Cricetulus griseus: one gene and its partner. The protein of the gene in region 1 interacts with the protein of each later gene in a pairwise test. Links are inferred from orthologs where the notes say so. Each region holds a gene or a part of one and is shown in the gene's direction. Other genes may lie near its edges.

Region 1 (5,176 bases):
GGATGTCCAGGAAAGACAAATGTGTGTCTGTGTTACAGTTATGGAATAATGTTTTATTGGCTGTTCCTTTTTGGTTTACAGAAACCATAAATTCACAGAATCACAAAATTCCCAAAGCTGTATTTTGTTTGTTTGTTTTCGAGACAAGGTTTCTCTGTATTGCTTTGGAGGTTGTCCTGGAACTTGCTCTGTAGACCAGGCTGGTCTCAGACTTACAGAGACCCGCCTGCCTCTGCCTCCCAAGTGCTGGGATTAAAGGCCCGGCCCAAAGCTGTATTTTTATTTTAAGATATGATGCAGATCTAATCAGTATGAAAATTACTCATCCTCTCTCTTTTTCATTACTAGCTGTTGCTTGTGTCTTTTGTCAGTAATATACATTTAATGTGACTGATTATGATTTTTGCTTACTTAGTAAAACCATAAGATAAAAAATTTACCACAAAGAACTTAATTGTAAATACTTACTACTAAAGCTGATACACAGAAGTGTTTTGTTGAGGACTGGCAAGAAATGAGAGGTGTTAGAAAGCTCTGTTTTTGATGAGGAAATTTGCAGAATGTCTCCCCTCATGCTTATGTGTCTTTGCATTTGTCCTTTGAGTAGTGTTAGATTGTTGAATGATTCTTGCCTTTCTAATCTCTGTGTTACTTAGCAGTCACAGTCAGTATAGAATATTCGGAGTGTCGAGGTTTCATAGGCCATGGCTGCTTTGCAGTGCTCTCTATAGAACTTATGCCTCTTGTACCAGGGTAGATTACCACCTCCCATTTTAAGTTCACTAATATGTAGATACACATGCCAGACAAGGGTTCTGGTCCTTCAGTACTCTCTAACATCATAAAGCAATGTTTTTTTAAATACCATCTGATTTCTTAATAGATGAATCTTATGGCATGTATTTTCTTGATATGGAAATTACATATGCTAAAAGGCTTTTAAAAGTTATACCAATCTTAGCTAGGTGGTGGCATATGCCTTTAATCTCAGCACTCTGGAGTCAGAGGCAGGAGAATCTGAGTTCAATGCCAACCTGGTCTATGTGGTAAGTTTTAGGAACACACAGTGAGACCCTGTCTTGTTTTTGTGGGGGGTGGGGAGGAGAAGTTCTTTGATATTTGAGCTGGGGACTATGCAAGAGCTTATTATATCTCGCATCTTATTTTATGGAGCTGTAAAGTTATATGGCTTGCAGAGGAAAGTGGCTATGTAGCATTTTTATTCTGAAAAGAAAAAATGTTCACTGCTGTTAGTATTATAAATGAACAGGAACTGATAATTCCCCTATAGGAAGCCATTTGACAATATGCATCAGTGAACTCAATAGTGTTATCTTTTGGTCTACCAATTCTAATATAATCTTATTGTAAAGAAATACCGTTAATATAATAAAAGGGTTATAGGCCAATGGAGTTTGCAGAACAATTTATAATTGAAGAAAATGGGAAATCTAGTTGTGTGCCATAAGAACATGTTTAAGAAAACTCTAATCAAATGTGTGGCAGTACAGGCCTTCAATCACAGGAGCGTCATAATTTAAGTACTACTTATACTGTTCAAGCTAGCCAGGGCAGTTTAGTTCCATCTTGTATTACATCCATGAGTATTTGAGCAGTACGAACTGGTCTTAATGAGATTAAAAAAAAAAAAAAAAACACTCAATGTTGGATGTGTAGAGAAATAAGAGTGATCTGGGGATAGTTGGGAGCATGAATATGATCAAAGCGTGCTGTAAAAAATTCTCAACTACTAGAAATAGAAACCAATGAAATGCCAAATAAGGGTAGGGGTGGGCTTGCATGGTAGATTTAGTGCTTGCCTAGCTTGCACAAGGTTCTAAGCACAGCTCCCAGGAAGAGAGAACACAAAATGCAACTGTTGTGTAATGCTGAAAACCAAAATAACTTAAAAGCTGGTTTTATAGCATTCAGTGCTACAAAAAAAGAGAGACTATTTTAATATGATTATAGACTGATAATATATACCCATGTCCAGGGAAATGTAAATTCTAGGTGGTGAGTATATTTGGATGTTGAAACTATATTATTTTATAGGAATATTAAGAAATTTAAAATGTAACCACATACTGGTCTATACAGGGGAGAAAGAAAAATTTTCTATCTTCCTATTAGAAATACTATTTTTTTCTTACAGGTTCAAATGGCCATAATACAAGTTAGTTTGCAAGCATTGGAATAGGTCTTATGAAGAAACATTTTGTGCCATGGATTCTCTAACAGAAGAATTTTTTGTGAGGTAAGGAATTACCTGCAGTAGTTTTTTTCAACTATTAATATATCACGCATTCTTTTTTATTTAAATTCTTTAATTACTACTCATTTATATATCCATCCCCCTCATCCCCCAACACATCCCCCAACTCATAGTGAGGTCCTCCACCAGGGACCTTCAAAGTCTGTCATATCATTTGGGGGAGGGCCTAGGCCCTCCTTTCTGTATCTGGGCTGCTATAGTATCCCTCCATGGGGAATGGGCTCCCAAAGTCCATTTGTGCTCTGGGGATAAAGACTGGCTCCACTGTTAGAGGTCCCATAGACTGACTGTCTTGGCCTCCTAGCTGTCACCCACATTCAGAGGGCTTGGTTTGGTCCAATGCTGTTTCCCCAGCTTTATGACTAGGGTCTCCATGCAATCAGTAGGTCAGGTCCACTGTTTCTGTGGGTTTCTCCAGCCCTATCTTGGCTCCTTTGCTCATCCCTCCTCCCTCTCCACAACTAGATTCCAGTAGTATGGTTCAGTGCTTAGCTGTGGGTGCCTGTTTCTGCTTCAAACAGCAACTGGATGAAGGGTCTAGGAATGGTAACAAAGGTAGGCATCAATCTCATTATAAGGGAAGGGCATCAATGGCATCCTCTTCACCACTGCCTGGTTTCTTAGTGGAGAGTCATCCCTGTGAATCTTGATAAGGGGTTTTGTTTGTGTACAGAAGAAGATGAGGACTAATCAAGGTTATGTACTTAATTTTACTGTGGAAGTTAGAAAAAATACACACATATGTATACACACACATCTTCCTAACCTTTTTATTTTCATACATACTAACACATAAAAAGAAGATCATCCTTTTCAAAGATATTTTTTCACCTTGCTATAATGCTGTAAGCTTGTAGGTGGTGTATCAGTGTGTGTCTGGTCTGTGTGGGTGCACATTCAGCCTTGCAGAAGTGTGTAGAAGATCTTTGACAGAGATCATTGTCAAATGTCTTCCTCTACCACTGACCTTACGTTTTGAGGAAACATCTCTTATTGAACCTTCAATTCCTCTTTCTACTCTTCTGGCTGGCCAGGGAACTCTACCCATCCCCCATCACAGCAGCATTGGTGTTATAGGAATGTGCTGTGATGCCTGACTTTTAACTTGAGTACTAGGAATCCAAACTTTGGTTCTTAATCTTGCAGCACAAGCATATTACCTATTGAGCCATCTCCACAGCTCTGTTGCTAAGGTTTTTCTCCCATATGTTTGTCTGTTGTGCATCTGGTAAATGTAAGGAGTTGGTTATATGACTTTGCTGGTTTCTCTACCATAGCTTTTTTTTAACTTCAGCCTCCAAAGAGATATGGTACCCATACCTACTTTAGTCTTTGATAGACATTTATGATACTTTTGAAAGTCTAGATGACTCTATTCTTTGATTCTTTACTGCTACAATTTATAATCTTTGTGAGACATTCTTAATACTGCCCCCCCTTTTTTTTAATATTTAAGTGGAGATCCTGATGTGGAGGAGCAAACCAAGGAAGAAACTGAGAATAAAGTAGAGAAACCAATCAGTCAGCTGGTAAGAGAAAATTAATTTTTATTAACATTTAGTAATTAGCAATGAGTTGATTCATTTGTATATGAAGTTACAATGCTAAGTGTAGTTATAAAATTCTTAGTCACTTTCTGAAAAAGTAAATTTTTCATAATTATTTCTGGGATGATTGATGCTGTATGTCAAGGATATTCTAATCCTCATGAGGAGTTGAAATCCATTAAATTGAACTTACCCAGAAACATTATAAAAATCAGGTTTCATTTGTTAGTGTTTTTTTCTTTGCAGTACTATGGATGAAATCATACTAGGCAAACATTATATATCCTCCTAACCTCATTTATGTATGCAAAGAAAAATTCAAACAAAATCAAGTTAAGAATATGTGTATGTATTTACATACATACACACACAGATGAAGGAAAACACATCTGGAATTTCATTTATCAAAAAGTTTTATTGATTTATTTGTGAAACTAATTCTTTTCATTTTATTATGTTTACTGCTAGAGCCTCTAAGTATAAGTGGAAGATAATGGGCCTGAGTTATATAATAATTTAAAACTTATTGAGAGCTTGGAGAGATGGCATAAAAGTTATGAATACTTGATGATCTTGCAAGGACATTGATCTAGTTTTCAGTACCCACATGGAAACTCACCACTGTCTGTTACTAGTTCTAGAAGATCTCATGCCTAATTCTTGCCTCTATGGACATTAAGCACACACAGGGTACCCATACATACATAGAGGGAAAAATGCATAATTTTTTATTATAAGCCTAGCATTTTACTTCTCAAGTAGTTTTCTTCCCATAAGTTTTCCTTAATGGCCCATACTCACATGCTAAAAAAATTTGGATGGTAGTAGCGCTTTATAGAAATAAAATAGCCATAATAGCATGAGTTTATCACTAGAAAATATTTCACAATAATTATAATATGTTCCAGAATAAACAGGTTATACACTTGAGCAAAGGCAGGAACCAGGCCTATTAGATCCAGAAAAGGCATTTCTAAATAAAAATTAGGACTATGAAATTAAGAAAAGATAGACACTTTGGCTTAGTTATTTTTTTTATTTTTGTGGTAAGACATTGTAACCCAGGCAACTTAAAGAAGAAAGCATTTAATGGGGGCCAGAGTTTCCTAGGTGAGCCTATGACCATTATTGCAGGGAGTATGGCAGAGTGGCAGGCATGGCACCAGGGCAGTAGCTGAGAGCTTACATTTTGTGACACAACCAGGTAGCAGAGAGTAGCACATCACCTCCAACAAGGCCATACCTCCTAATCATTCTCATCACCAACTGGAATATTCAAACACATGAGTCTTGGGAGCCATTTTCATTCAAAAAAAAAAAAAAAAAACTTCAGCCTGAATTTAGAGTAAATGTT
Region 2 (5,871 bases), on another chromosome or scaffold:
AAGAACCTGTTTCAAAAAGTTGAAGGAAGTAATAGTGTGTGGTGTTGGACCTGAAGAAATGGCCCAGCAGTTAAGAGGCTGGGCTGCCCTTTCAGATGATCCAAGTTCAGTACCCAGCACCATTTGGCAACAGACAACTGCCTATGATTCCAGCTCCAGAGAATTCCCACCTTTTTTTCTGGTCTCCACAAGCACCCCCATATGGTGAACACTCAACTGACCTGCATACACACAGACATCAATAAAAATAAATCTTAAAAAAAAATCAGAAGGGTATATGGTGAGATGGCCCAGAGGGTAAAGGTACTTACTGCCAAGCCTGACGACCTACGTTCTATGTCTGGGGCCCGCATGGTGAAAGGAGAGTATCAAATCCTGAAGGTTGTCCTCTGATATCCAGACATACACCATGATGCAACTAACAAGCAAAATAATCACACTAACCTAATACTAAAATAGTAGGATTGCTTAGGATTTGGAGGACAGCTTGGACAGGAGAGAGAGTTAGCAAATGAAATCTCTGGCTGTGAAAGTCTGATAACCTAAATTCGATCCCTGGAGCTCACATAAAGGTAAATAAAAAAACCAACACAGGAAAAGTTGCCCTCTGGCCTCCGTAAGGTTGGAAGGCACTTGCACCTGCCTCAACCAATAGTATAAACTTTAAAAATCAATAACAAACCCCGAAAGTCAGTGTGCGATGTCTTAGCAGTTAAAGGCACTTGCTGCATTAGCCTGCCAACCCGAGTTTAATCCAGGACCTCACCCATATAATTGGAGAGATAGATGCCCCAGAATTGACCTCTGACTTCCAAACCAGCAAGGTGATACATTCTGACTCCTCCACACTGAGCACACTAAGAATCTTAACTCACTGGGTGGTGGTCGAGCACTCCTTTAAACCTTTAATCCCAGCAGAGGCAGAGGGGCAGAGGGGTAGAGGGGTAGAGGGGCAGAGAGGCAAGGCCAGCCTGGTCTACAGAGCGGGTTCCATGACAGGCTTCAAAGCTACACAGAGAAATCCTGCCTCAAAAAACAAAACAAAAACAACAATAAAGAGAGAGAGAGAGAGAGAGAGAGAGAGAGAGAGAGAGAGAGAGATCCTAACGCTCTCCCTCCCCAGTACAAAGTGGTGCACAGTTTGGTAAAACTTGTGCTGAGTAACTGGACTTAATGTTCAATATACACATGAATACGTATTTAACTTTTGTAGGATTTGTTTTCTATCATTTGGCCTCTCTTTTTATTCTTGGAGACAGTTTCTCCTCTGAAAGTTAGTTTTCTCCTGTTATTTTTTTTTTTTTGAGTCAGCCTGGTGTGTTGTTTTTATGAACTTTTCCTTCATCGCTATCGTCCGCTTATAACCGGAGACTACTTTGTGAATTTCTCCATTGTTTAGACAGCGGCTGGCAACCATGCAGCCTGGACCCGCTCCCTGCAGAGATCACCAGCGCGCGTCTCCACGCCCGCCTAGGAGGCTCTGTGGTGTTGGTAATCTTAAACTCAGCCTGTATCTTGACATCTCACGAAGAAGCCTCGCAAATTATATATACATCGAAAAAATCTAACCCCTCCACTCCGGGAAGTGCTGACAGTCTGAAACTCAAAACCCTGACGCTGGGGGCTTGGAGCAACTTGGTACAAATCCCTCAAGACGGAGCCTCGGAGACGCCCTTAGGCGCTCTTTCTTTTTACGTAAGACTCGACGCTAGTTTTCCGCTCGCGCGCGGTTATTGAACCTTTGGGGCTCAAGTTTCCGGGTGCGGAAACGCGCGTGCACCACCCGGCGTCCTCCCACAGCCCACAAGTCGTGAGGCTCTCCATGGACCACCCTCCACCTTGCTCCCCTCTTCGCCCGCCCCCTCCCTTCCCTCCCCCCTCCCCCTCCTCCCCCTCCGCCGCTTGGCTCCCCCGAGGTGTGCGCATGCGCCGTCGCTGTCCTTTCCTGCATTCAGAGGCCGGCCCACATTCCCCGGCCCCGCCCCTCGCCTGGCTGGCCAATCCTGAGCTCGGACTTGGGCTCGTCAGAATGGCGCCGTGGCGGCCCGGTGCCCGGATGTCCGCTGCCTGAGGCTCCGCCCCGCCACGGTCTTGTATCCTTCCGGCTTCGTCGTGGAAGGAGGACTGCGCCTCGTCTTCCTGAAGGTGGGGTTCGGGGGAAGGCCGGCCCGCGGTCACGCCGGCTGTGGGAAGGGAAAGTGGGCTTCCCGGGCTACTGTTTCCGGGTGCTCGGGGCGTGGGTCGAGCGGGGAACGGGCCAGGGGCCAGGAGGGCTCCCGGAAGCGCGGCGGGCGCTCGACGGGCGGGAGTTGAGGACCAGGCCGGCCCGCGCGGCTGAGTCGCTCCGCGGAGGCCCCACCGCGAGCGCGCTTCTGGGGGTTTCCATGGTGACAGTAAACAAGCCTCAACTGCCTCAGCTACAACTGCCAAGTCCCCGGGGTTCCACCCTCCTCTAGGTGCTCTGAGGGCCGGCGAGGTTCCGGATGTGAGAGGGAGCGTGGAGACAAGGAGCCCGAGGTGAGGGTCGCCAACCGGGTGGGCTGGCGGCCGGGCCCTTGGGGCGTCGGGCCGTGGGGCTCGGCCATAGGAGAGGACCGGTCCGAGGGGGGAGCCGCACACCCGTGGCGGTGCGAGGCTGGCCGTCGGGGCTCGGGACGGCGGAGGCGAGGCGTGGGGTCGGGGTCCAGAGCCGAAGTTGAGAGTATGTCTGGCGGTCCAAGTTGGGAGCACTTCGGACCGGGCCGGCCGCGTGGCTGAGGTTTGCGGCCTGGCGGAGGGGGTCGGGGGGAAGGGGACGGACGCGGGATCCGAAGTCTGGAGTCACTCTGGTAGGCTGAGGTCCGGCCGCGGGGACCGAGGTGTGGGGCTCGCCCCCCCCCCCCCCGCATCCGAGGCCCACGCCCTGGAGAGCGGCTTCCGCCGAGGGCCATGCCCGCCGGCGCTGCTCGCACGCGGCTCGGCCGACGCGGGTTGTTTGGGGGGGGGCAGGGCGGAGCGTTTACCCCCCGCGGCGGAACACGCTCTGCCCTCCGCGGGTAGGCCCGGGCGGGCGCTGGTTGCAGTTTTGAAAAAGGAAAGCGGCCGCTCACGTGGTTGGAGGCGGCCAGAGTTTCACAAGACTGGGCGGAGGGACGACGACTCCGCCCTCCTCCCACTCCTGCCCCGAGCGAGCCGACCGCCTCTTCCTCCTCGTGGCGACCCGGGAGTCTCTCATTCCCCAGTCTGTGTGGATCCGGGCCCTTCGGAGGTAGCGTGCTGGCGTTTGCGGGTGGTGCTGGCGGTGGTGGAGGAGGAGGAGGGATCTTGACCTAGGGAGGTCGGTCGGGTGTTTGCTGCTGTTCCGTGAACTTTCTTTGGATGTGTTTGTGGATCTTTACGGTTCCGGTGAAACTTGGTGTGGGTCTTTCCGGCCTTCCTTCCCTCCCTGGCGCGCGCGCGCTCTCGGGAGCGTTCCCGACAGGGCCGGACGCTGGCCCCAGCCGCCCTGCGCGTACCCGCGAGGCAGCCCCACGTGCTCCATAACTTTGAGCGCCCGACGCGACTTTTCCTGCCCCGGAGTCCCGGGGCACAAACGAATGGGCCTCTCCTACCTGCCACAAGTGCTGGAGACCTGTGGCCTGTGACTGGGGCTCCAGAGTGGTTGGGCGAGCGCGCAGCGTGGGAGGCCGCCATGCGGCTGTGCGGGATTAGGCTCCAGTGTGTCTTTGACTGCCGGAACTTCGAAGAACCGAGAGGGCTTCTTTATAGCTTTTCTTTTTGTTTGCGGATTTGTGTGTGAGTGGGGGAGGGGGTTAGATGTAAGACGACACCTTGAGAGATGGCTCTTCCAGGAGTGTGGGTCTCGGGGATCGAACTGAGGTCATGTGCTTGGCAGCTCGAGTTCCTATCAAGTGTGGGTTTTGTTTTATTTTGCTGTTTTTTCCAGACGGCTCCTGTGTAGTCCTGGCTATCCTGGAGCTCACTTGTAGACCAGGCTGACCTCGAACTCACAGAGATGTTTTGCCTGGAGTGTTGGGATTAAAGAAGTGCGTCACCATGCCGGTCGATACCGGAGAGTTTTGAAATAATTAAAAATCATTTAATTGATCAAATCATAAGATGTCTTGTAATAGTTACTATTTTAGAGAGAAGTTTCCTTTGTGCTGCCGAGTAGAGGTCAGGGACATATGGGGCCAGGCCTTCCATATTGTGTTCAGAGATTTTTGAGCTCAGGTCCCTCCCGGCAATAAAAAACTTCTTTTCTATTTTTTTTTGTTTTTGTTTTTCAAGACAGGGTTTCTCTGTGGCTTTTGGAAGCTGTCCTGGAACTAACTCTTGTAGACCAGGCTGCTGATCTTGAACTCACAGAGATCCACCTGCCTCCCGAGTGGTGGGATTAAAGGCGTGCGCCACCAACACCCGGCTCCCGCAATAAGTCTTTACACAGTTAACGATCTCCAAGTACTTTTTAAGAGTTAATGCTTATGAATTTTTAGTAAAAATAGAAATATTTCAGGCTTTTTGGGTAGACAAAAATAGGTCAGTGAAGTAGTAGTTTTGGTGCTAATTTTTGACAATATTTTCGTTTTAAAGTGGAAGGTTTATATTTCCAGAGAAAGTTGAGAGATTGGTAATGAGGGATACTTAGTTTATTGTGTTGTATACATAGTTTTTTGTTTGTTTGGGTTTTTTTTTTTTTTGGTATTTCGAAACAGGGTTTCTCTGTGTAGCTTTTGCGGCTATCCTGGCTCTCAATCTGGAGACCAGACTGGCCTCTGCTTCCCATGTACCACCATCTCCATAGAAGTAGAAAGTTTTTATTTTTTTGGTGGTATGTCTTTTGGGTGGTGGGAGTAGGCTGGGCCTCCAAAGCACTATGTAGTCACTGAATATGATCTTGAATTCCTGATCACCCAGCTTCACTTCTAGATTGCTTAGATGACAGGACCACCACACCCCCTTAATAGGTACTGGGCATGGTGCGCAAGCACTCCATACCCTCTGGATCACATACCCTGTCCCATTGTGTCTGTTTTTTGTTGTTAACTTTGAGATAGAGTCTTTTACTATATGTGTATGCATGTTTCTGTGTGGGCCAAGATCAAGGCAATGCTGGGTTACTAGTGAGTTGAAGGAAAAGCCTGGGCATCTTGACTCTAAAATAAACAATTAAATAGAAAAATGTTTAACTTTGTTTTCTCTGTTTATGAGGTAGGATCTCATTAAGTTTGCTCACTATAAACGAGGCTGACCCCAAACAGAAATCTGCCTGCTTCTGCCTCTAGTGCTGTGGATTACTGGGATTAAAGGTATTAGAGGAGGTGCACACCTAGAATCCAGGCTTATGGGAGGCAGAGGCAGATGGATGATCTCTGAGAGGACAATTTGGTCTACACAGAGAAACACTCTTGGAAAACCAAAAATAACAACAAAAAAACCCCAAACAAATAGCTTAAAAGAAAATACTAGGTAAGTAGAAGTCTCTGCCCATGTGGCTAAAGCTCTGAGAATCTGGAGGTAGAAGAGTTCAGTGGGTTTACCCACATTAGTGTGGCTAGGTCCGGGCACAGCATGAAATGTTTTACATGTTCTTTCTGATTGGATATTTGTGAAAACTGAAGATAATCTTGTTCTTAATCCATGGTACAAAGAGAAAATGGAGACTCAAAGAAATCACCAGGGACGCAATGGGAATTGGAACTTAGGTCTGACATGAACTGCCTTCCATTGCTTAGGGCTCCTGTCTCCAATGTTGTGTTAGTGGAGGACTCTTAGGGTCTCACAGAAGAGGAAGAATTGAACTCAGTTTAAGAACACCATACTGAGGTGTTCATACTGAGCAGCCATTAGTTTTCCATAAAAAGTTAAAAAAAATTAACCTATATTACACAG

The links. The genes of interacting proteins can lie anywhere in the genome.
Region 2: the proteins of Dzip3 (region 1) and Hnrnpf interact in binary tests that used the Homo sapiens proteins (3 or more experiments, as listed by UniProt). The two-hybrid records come from large-scale screens. The link is inferred for Cricetulus griseus from reciprocal best matches to the Homo sapiens genes DZIP3 and HNRNPF.

What each region holds. Positions count from the first base shown.
Region 1 is NC_048597.1:42,083,971-42,089,146, forward strand, and holds part of Dzip3 (E3 ubiquitin-protein ligase DZIP3), read left to right. Parts: intron 1-2,155; 5' UTR 2,156-2,225; coding exon 2,226-2,257; intron 2,258-3,731; coding exon 3,732-3,804; intron 3,805-5,176. UniProt on the Homo sapiens protein: E3 Ubiquitin ligase proteins mediate ubiquitination and subsequent proteasomal degradation of target proteins.
Region 2 is NC_048601.1:27,020,419-27,026,289, reverse strand, and holds the start of Hnrnpf (heterogeneous nuclear ribonucleoprotein F), read left to right. Parts: upstream 1-1,996; 5' UTR 1,997-2,145; intron 2,146-2,378; exon of another isoform or gene 2,379-2,517; intron 2,518-3,114; exon of another isoform or gene 3,115-3,247; intron 3,248-5,871.